Linked DNA regions of Mytilus edulis. The protein of the gene in region 2 purifies or fractionates together with the protein of the main gene of each other region. This does not show direct contact. Links are inferred from orthologs where the notes say so. Each region holds a gene or a part of one and is shown on either strand. Other genes may lie near its edges. The genes, in order: AP-3 complex subunit delta-1-like and E3 ubiquitin-protein ligase RNF13-like.

The links.
Region 1: the proteins of E3 ubiquitin-protein ligase RNF13-like (region 2) and AP-3 complex subunit delta-1-like purify together in Homo sapiens (affinity purification with mass spectrometry; 3 studies listed by BioGRID and IntAct, counting the BioPlex papers as one, with this or other methods). This does not show direct contact. The link is inferred for Mytilus edulis from reciprocal best matches to the Homo sapiens genes RNF13 and AP3D1.

The regions. Positions count from the first base shown.
Region 1 is NC_092344.1:17,869,939-17,873,882, forward strand, and holds the start of AP-3 complex subunit delta-1-like, read right to left. Parts: upstream 2,904-3,944; 5' UTR 2,786-2,903; coding exon 2,690-2,785; intron 1,421-2,689; coding exon 1,325-1,420; intron 31-1,324; coding exon 1-30. UniProt on the Homo sapiens protein: Part of the AP-3 complex, an adaptor-related complex which is not clathrin-associated. The complex is associated with the Golgi region as well as more peripheral structures.
Region 2 is NC_092346.1:84,994,472-84,998,415, reverse strand, and holds the start of E3 ubiquitin-protein ligase RNF13-like, read right to left. Parts: upstream 2,487-3,944; 5' UTR 2,373-2,486; intron 1-2,372. UniProt on the Homo sapiens protein: E3 ubiquitin-protein ligase that regulates cell proliferation. Involved in apoptosis regulation. Mediates ER stress-induced activation of JNK signaling pathway and apoptosis by promoting ERN1 activation and splicing of XBP1 mRNA.

The DNA.
Region 1 (3,944 bases), on a different chromosome or scaffold from region 2:
CCAGCTGATGTCATAACCAATCATTTGTAGCTGTAATTAAAACAAGTTCAACTATTAGTTTTCTATTAAAACATCACTAAGAATTCAGAAATGAACATTTATCATAAATTAAGAAAATTGGTAATTTTTGCAAACCAATTTTAATATTTTTGTTGAAACAAAGTTTTGCTCTGTTGAAAAATGAATTGTTACCTTTCGTTATAACCAAATAATGAAAAGATCATAAATGTAAATGGCCATGGCAGAGAGAAAGGTTTTATTACTAACAATTACAATGGCTGTAATAAAGTTACCAACAGTTAAAATTACTGTTTTCCAAATAAATGTAATCAGTGACTCTCTCATTTATAAATCCAAATATTAATCTCTTGTACAGTGTGTATATATATTGTCCTACAATAAATAAGAAAAAAGGACAAATCGAAAAAAGTATTTTCTGGCCATCAGTGTTCTCCCCAGAAATTTTGGATAGCATAACATTTGACGTAAAAAAAAAAAAACTGTATTTTTTTCAATGTCATCTATTGCATCGTGGTGATTCTCTATTTCCTTTATGTTATATATGTTATTGTTTATTACAAAATGCATTATATTGTTTGTATGCTATAGGCTCTCATTTGGTGAATAAAATATTCTATTCCATCCTATTCTGTGTGTTTATATTGTTGATATCTTTACTGAGAATACAATTAAACTATAACCATGATGACAGTATTTTCAGTTTATGTTTTCTATATTCATTTATAGTTACTCAATTATTTTTCAACTCTTGAGCCAAATAAAAATATATGTGCGGTTCAAGTTACCCTACCTACCCAACTAAATGAATGATTGGGTTATTATAGTGCAACCTGTATAGATACAATTACACTAAATATCTAAGAAAAAACTGGTTCTTATCAAAAGAAAAAAAGGGAAGAGAAAGTATCCTTCAAATAGCAATAAATTTAAATTCAAAAACTATTTCTTTATCATGTCTATGAAATATATTGGTTCATGGTACTCAATGAATTAGTCACAGTTGTTTCTTTTTATCAAAATGATATCTATTTTTAACAAAGTTATCTAACAAATAGTCTGTTAATGCGTAGTTTTCGGTGCTGCGACGCTAAAATGGCCTGGGGAGAACGTTAACAGTGGCCATGATCGCTTTAACTGTTGGTAGCATCTAAACCAATTAAGCATCTATGCAATCTTTGACAGTAGGGTGAAGTTATAGATGGAGTCTGAAAGCTAGCCCAAAGGAATAAGGATTACAGATAAGTGGATTAATGATGACAAAATGTCCCACTACATATATGTTCATCCGTGCCATGTATCTTACATATGATAGCTTGCTGACAGCATTTGCCTTGACAGCAATATTTTCTTGTTTCAATTCCTGTTTAATTTCATCAATGCACTCAGCTATGTACTTTGCCTGAAATTATAAAACAAAAAAATCAATGTTTTAGGGCTCTTTGAATTATCTAATATTGTGGATGCTATTTTACATGTATATGGATTATGAAACAATTGAATATTTTTAAATATTTGATTTTTGTGTTTTTGTCAAAGTTAGATCCAACAGTATAGAACATTCTTGGTTCACCTATGAATTACCAGATTAGTTAATGAATCCACAATTTCTTGTATTGAAACGTAAATGTAGCACTCACATGCACATACAACAAAATGTACAAAAATTTATATAGATATATTTACATATATATATATATATATATGAAAAAGACTATAACAGTAGAAATAAATACTGGCCAAATTCCACTACATGTATCTGGAATTTAATTTTGATGAGAGAATTGGGGGAAAAAATAGTTTCATCTTGTAAATGAATAATTCTGGTCTCAGACTGCATCAGATGAAAGCTTATCTTACACTGACTGATTCCAAAATTACATATGATATCATTGTACTATATTCATGAAATAAGGGAGATAATAAGCCACTTGTGGTGTCAAATAATAGCTTAATTTTATCCTGAAAGGCGCTCAAATGGCAGGATGGTTTGTGTGTTTAATTCATGTACATGTATGGCCATGAAAAACTTCCTGTTGCAAGAACTTGTGTTGGAATGGGAGAAATCTTTAAATAACATAATAATATATATACAACACATACATGGATTTGCAGGTCACAAGCATGACAAATAAAGCAAGCATACAAATTCCATTGTTATTGTTATCCTTTGGCATATTGTTCAGTAGCACTTTCCTCATACCAGCAGGTGAATGGATTTTACATTTAGACTTTGTTTCTGAGTTTTTTTCTCTGTATTATTATCCTTTGATTGCTACATCTCATTGACATAAATGTATATCCCTCACATTTTTGTATGTGCATTCCTGTGCTTTTGGTATCAGTTCAATTGAACAGTAAACAATGATTCTACAGAAAGGTAATTTTATACATAAATTACTGAATATTCTTTGGAAGTTGAGCAAGGAAGACTAAACAGTAACAGACACAACAGTACTTGGGTATCAACTGTGCCTAGTTGTGAAATATTGAGCCATAAACACCGATAAAGCTTATGGGATAGTAACAGAAAACAAATCTTGGTAATTTTATTTAGCTAAACATCGACATTATTAACGTTCAGTATTATATGCAGTTAAAAACGCCCCTTATGTGTAAACAAACTTTGATTTCAAGCATCAAATTGATATTGATTTATTTCCCGGCCCACCTCATTTTCTTTATGATTGCGGATTCCTCGAACCAAATCCTGCAAATTTTTGTCTAACACCCTTTCAAGGGTTCCTTTCACTTTCTTTAACGCCATTGGCTATCTGATGTTAGTCAACTACCAGCCAATGTCATCCAGCTTCACAAAATATTGCCGAGATGATGATCAAAATGGAGCTCATCTAAATCATGTGAGATGTTGACGTGGGAAATTTATTATAACCACTGGATTGAAACCGGTCATTATCCGGAAATGTTTCCTTGAAATATAAAGGTAGTTTCAACCTCCTGGTAGTACTATGATATGATCTGGTATCGATTTTAACTAACACTGTACAATGAAAACAGATCTTACAAAAACACCAGCCAGGTACAGGAGTTAATAAATGTCTAAATTCATTAATAGTAATTAGTTGATGACTTTTATTTTCGTTTGGAAACTATGATGTCTTGCCAGAAGCCGATTTCGTAAATTATCCGTATTCAGATTCTGTATGGGACTTATCATTTTTTTACCTGGGAGCTGGGGTTGGTTATTTTGAATGTTATATGTTCCTCTCTTGAACACTGCTTAATCTTAAATTTTATGTACACATGTAAGACCATATTGAAAGCTCAATTGGGTCACTTAATGTTATATGAATAGTTCATGCTTTCAGCTTGAACAATATGAATATTATGTATGATAGTAACCTCAAAATTTTGATTTACTAGCCTAAAAAATACAAATGTTGAGGGAGTTAGAGGTATAAATGGACCCAAAGGGATCTTGTTTTGAAAACAAAAAGATGCATTTATTGTTTTCATCATCTCAGAATCATCTTTTGTATTAATATTCAACTGATTGTATGCAGATTAGATGAATATTTAATCATTTATTGCAGAATTTATTACTTTACACTATATTTTTTCATGATATAGCGTGATTTGTATTTTTGGACAAAATTTTGCACAAATCACTGTAGATTTCGTTTTAATTTCTACTTAATTTATCTCAAACTATAAGCTGATTAAAACAAAATTTGGCAGTAATGCTTTTTAATTTAGTGATCAAAGTGAGTGAGTGAAATACATGTATAACGACTGAATTATTGGGATTATGAAGCACATATGCAGCTTCCTACATCACCAAAGTATTGTGATGTCTTACTTAATTGTATATGAATGGTGTTAAAAATATATTTCGATTTGATTGTTATGGTGTTCTTCCGTTGATATTTTGTCTCTTGACTGAGTATGTGAAATGAAATTGAGAA
Region 2 (3,944 bases):
ATCAATAACAATGACTTGCAAAATCTAGGTTACATCACAAACATCATGAACATTATTCCATATTATAAACTTTAACTTTTTAATAGCAGAAAACTTAAAACTTAAATATTGCTGTATAATGGTATATATATGTTAATAATTCAAATCAATGAATCTTGTATTAGGAGGCAGGAATTTCAAAAATTGTCGAACTGTGTACCTACTAACTTTTAAAATGCCCATGGAGGTTTTAAGTGTCAGATGGCTCATACATCATGTACATGTACAGTCCTAAAAAACCTACCAGAGGGCCTTGAGATGTATCTCAATATTGTATTTTGGCCTCTTCATAATTTTAAAGCCTACATGTATAGCCATCGTAAAATTAACTGTTTTGATTAAAATTGTGGACAAAATTGCCCTTTCAAAATTTCCATTTGGGAGCTTTAATGGGGAAATTCCCTGCAAATAGTAAAAGTTGGCAGGTATGAAGCTGGTATGTACTGATAGTAATGCAAATTTATATTAAATATCAATGATTTATTACAAATAGTTTCTATCAAACTAACTTGCAGAAAAAAAATAACAATTGTTGACGCTAACGTAATTGTTGCTGGAAATACAATGGCTATGGCTTGCTTTCCACTACTTTCGGTGCAGACGAGACAAATAGCTATAGGTTGAACATGTTGAAATTGCAGGAAGATCTTTGTAAACAAATGAATAATGAATTTTACATTTTCGGACATTGTATATCTTTATGTAAGCTAATTCATATCGAGAAATGAAAAAGTCTTAGTTTCAAAGATCTAGCTGTTGGACAATTTAATTTTAATTGTTTAAGAACTAGATCAATCTACATTTGAGTTAGATAAGTTCATGTATATAGATATGGTAATCACTTGAAATATCTGGTATCAATATAAAATACATTTTTTGTACCTGCCAACTTAATGTTTTTCCAAATACCCATGGGGGTTTTGCGTGCAAGATGGCTCTTATAGTAATTAGAAACACCCAAGGGGGCCTTCAAATGTATTTGTATGTTGTTTTTTGTTGCTTCTCCATACTTTTAAGAGCCTATAGCCATTGTAAAATTAACTGTTTTGTTTAAAATTGTAGACAAAATTGCTCTTTCAAAATTTCCATTTGGGAGCTCTCATGGGGGAAATCCCCTTCAAATAGTGACAGTTGGCAAGTTGGAGTTGGCACGTATGATACAGTAAAACCTTTCTTAAACCTGGGCTTTAAATTAGCAGCAAAATGATGATGATGTGACATCAGGTCTCCAGTACATGAACCTCCAGTATACAAGATGAATGTCATGCTCTCTGCATATTAAAAAACACTTGAAACAAATCCTGATGGGATGTGTATGGAATAATAGTGTGAACATGAAGCGAGCCACACCTGATTAATCAAACATAAATCCCCATGATAATGCACATGATGCAGGTGTCTTCAGTTTTGTTATAATAAAACAATCTTATATTAGATGCACGATTTGTCAGGAGCCTGTAATTCAGTGGTTGTCGTTTTTATATGTGTTACATATTTGTTTTTCGTTCATTTTTTTATATATTTAAGGCCGTTAGTTTTCTCGTTTGAATTGTTTTACATTGTCTTATTGGGGCCTTTAATAGCGGACTATACGGTATGGGCTTTGCTCATGTTGAAGGCCGTACGGTGACCTATAGTTGTTAATATCTGTGTCATTTTGGTCTCTTGTGGACAGTTGTCTCATTGGCATTCATACCTCATCTTCTTTTTCATATTATAAATATAGACGATGTAACTGTAACTAATTAAGTACATCTCAAGATTAAAGTATGCCCCTACCTTTAAAATAAATTAAAAACAAAGGACTTCACTGTGGGTCTCATTGGGGTCTAAGCATGACGCGGGATTGCTGATTTTTTATAAGCACGACACGTGAAAGTTAAATTATTGTGTCGTGAAAATGGGAAATGAGGTCTAGCGAGACCCGGGAAATGACAAAAATAATGAGAATTGCTTACGTACACAGTGTAAGCGGGATACGGGAATCTGACAAAACAGTAAGCAGGATCAGGGATCGGAACCCCCCAATGAGACCCCCTTCACTGATTATACAATATACTAAGACTACAATATACAAAATCACACAAAAAAACCAACACAATTCACCACAGTATTATGATCACCAAGTTCGGGTGAAAGGAAAGTCTGAGTGATAGGTTTAATATTCAGTCAGAGTTGTTTCAAGTTATCAACATGTGAAGTGATTCACGAACAGCCATTCCTTACGCAGTTACTGTGGCAAATCAAGGCAAGGAATAGAGAGAAATGTCATAACATACAACCAGTAAGTGCAGTTACATACATGAGAATCACATCTATCAATTTTATCTTACATATTTTCTTATATCATTTGATGTCTTTGATTCAAAATTCCAGAAAGTAGCAAATGTTTACATCTTGAAAAATCTAGAAATGGATTCAATCACGTGATATGAAACAGGGGAAGTAATTCAATATTAAACTAGAGGCTCCCAAGAGTCTGTGTCGCTCATAGGCGAGTGATATGAGAGCCAAATTTACATTTTTGATGCACCTACCTAACACACGGCCAAATTATATATCATACGTGATCATGTATCAACTGTGGTTTTGGAAATCACGTAAACTAAGGTTAAAAACATATGAAATAGTATAAGATAATAACAATTGACGCCAAGTTTGGTTTAATTCGGCCCAGTAGTTTAAGCAGGTCATCCCAGTCTTACACTGAATATCCTGAATATAGTTTGCAGGCATTATTTACGCTTTCGAGACGCGACGGCCATACTTCCATGACGGCCCTAGGATGTGTCGGCCATACCGTCATATCGTCCATGGGACATATCGGCCACACATTGTGAGACGTATCGTCCACACTTTTAATTTTTTTTTATTTAGTTTATTACATAAAATATAATACAAAAGATAAGTATTTGTTCATAATAATAACATAAATATGATTGTGTAGTACTTTTTTTCTGTACAGAAGATTTTATTTATTCTTGTAAGAGTTATATTTGCTTGATCATCATCGCTCGTGTTTACAGACAGACAGACAGAATATTTTATTATAGTGTCACATACCAATACAGAACAATATCATACATCATAATATTAGTATAAAAATACAAATAAAAATTTACATCGAAGTTAAAATATCGGTATCAGCCATGACTGACTTATGAGACACTTTTGCTTTAAAACTTATTCTAACATTCATTACAAATGAATAAAAGTAACCTTTTAAATTACATTAAAAATAACAAAAAAACAACCTGTTATACACAATATTTTCTGCGATTAAACATAAAATATAAGGATTTTGCAGCATGTTGTCTTGGTCGGACTTGCTGGTCACATAGCACACAGCAGCATGCCTAGAGACTGAGTGTGTAGGTAAAGGTAATATCTAAAAGCTGGACCGTGAAATCATTATTAAGTGAAGTATAATACCATCCTTTAAGAGTAGACGAGTCCGTCACTGGTTTGGTCCAAAAGTTTGGTCCAGATCGCGGGCCATTTCACCTTTTCGTGTTTTCTCCTTTCACTTTGCAAATCGTACAATAACTTGAGTTTGCTTTGAACAATTTGAATTTATGAGAATTTTTAAAAACATGGTTCCTCAATGAAATAAACATAATAGAAATTGTCATTATGATCGTGATATATCGCGGCTCGGTAATTATCGCTAATCAATCACATGTGGGCAATCCATATATCACGATAATGACCAGTTTTTCAATAAAGATTATATAAATATGCATAAATGATTTGAAAAAATTATGTTGACTGGTCAGTTATGTTAAGTCCCCGATAATAAGATGTTTAAACGATGGATCATGTAAAATTGAAAATAGACGTGCATTATTTCCCCTACATCTACACTCATGCTGCATTTCGTAATTTGATAATTTTAAGTTAAAAGT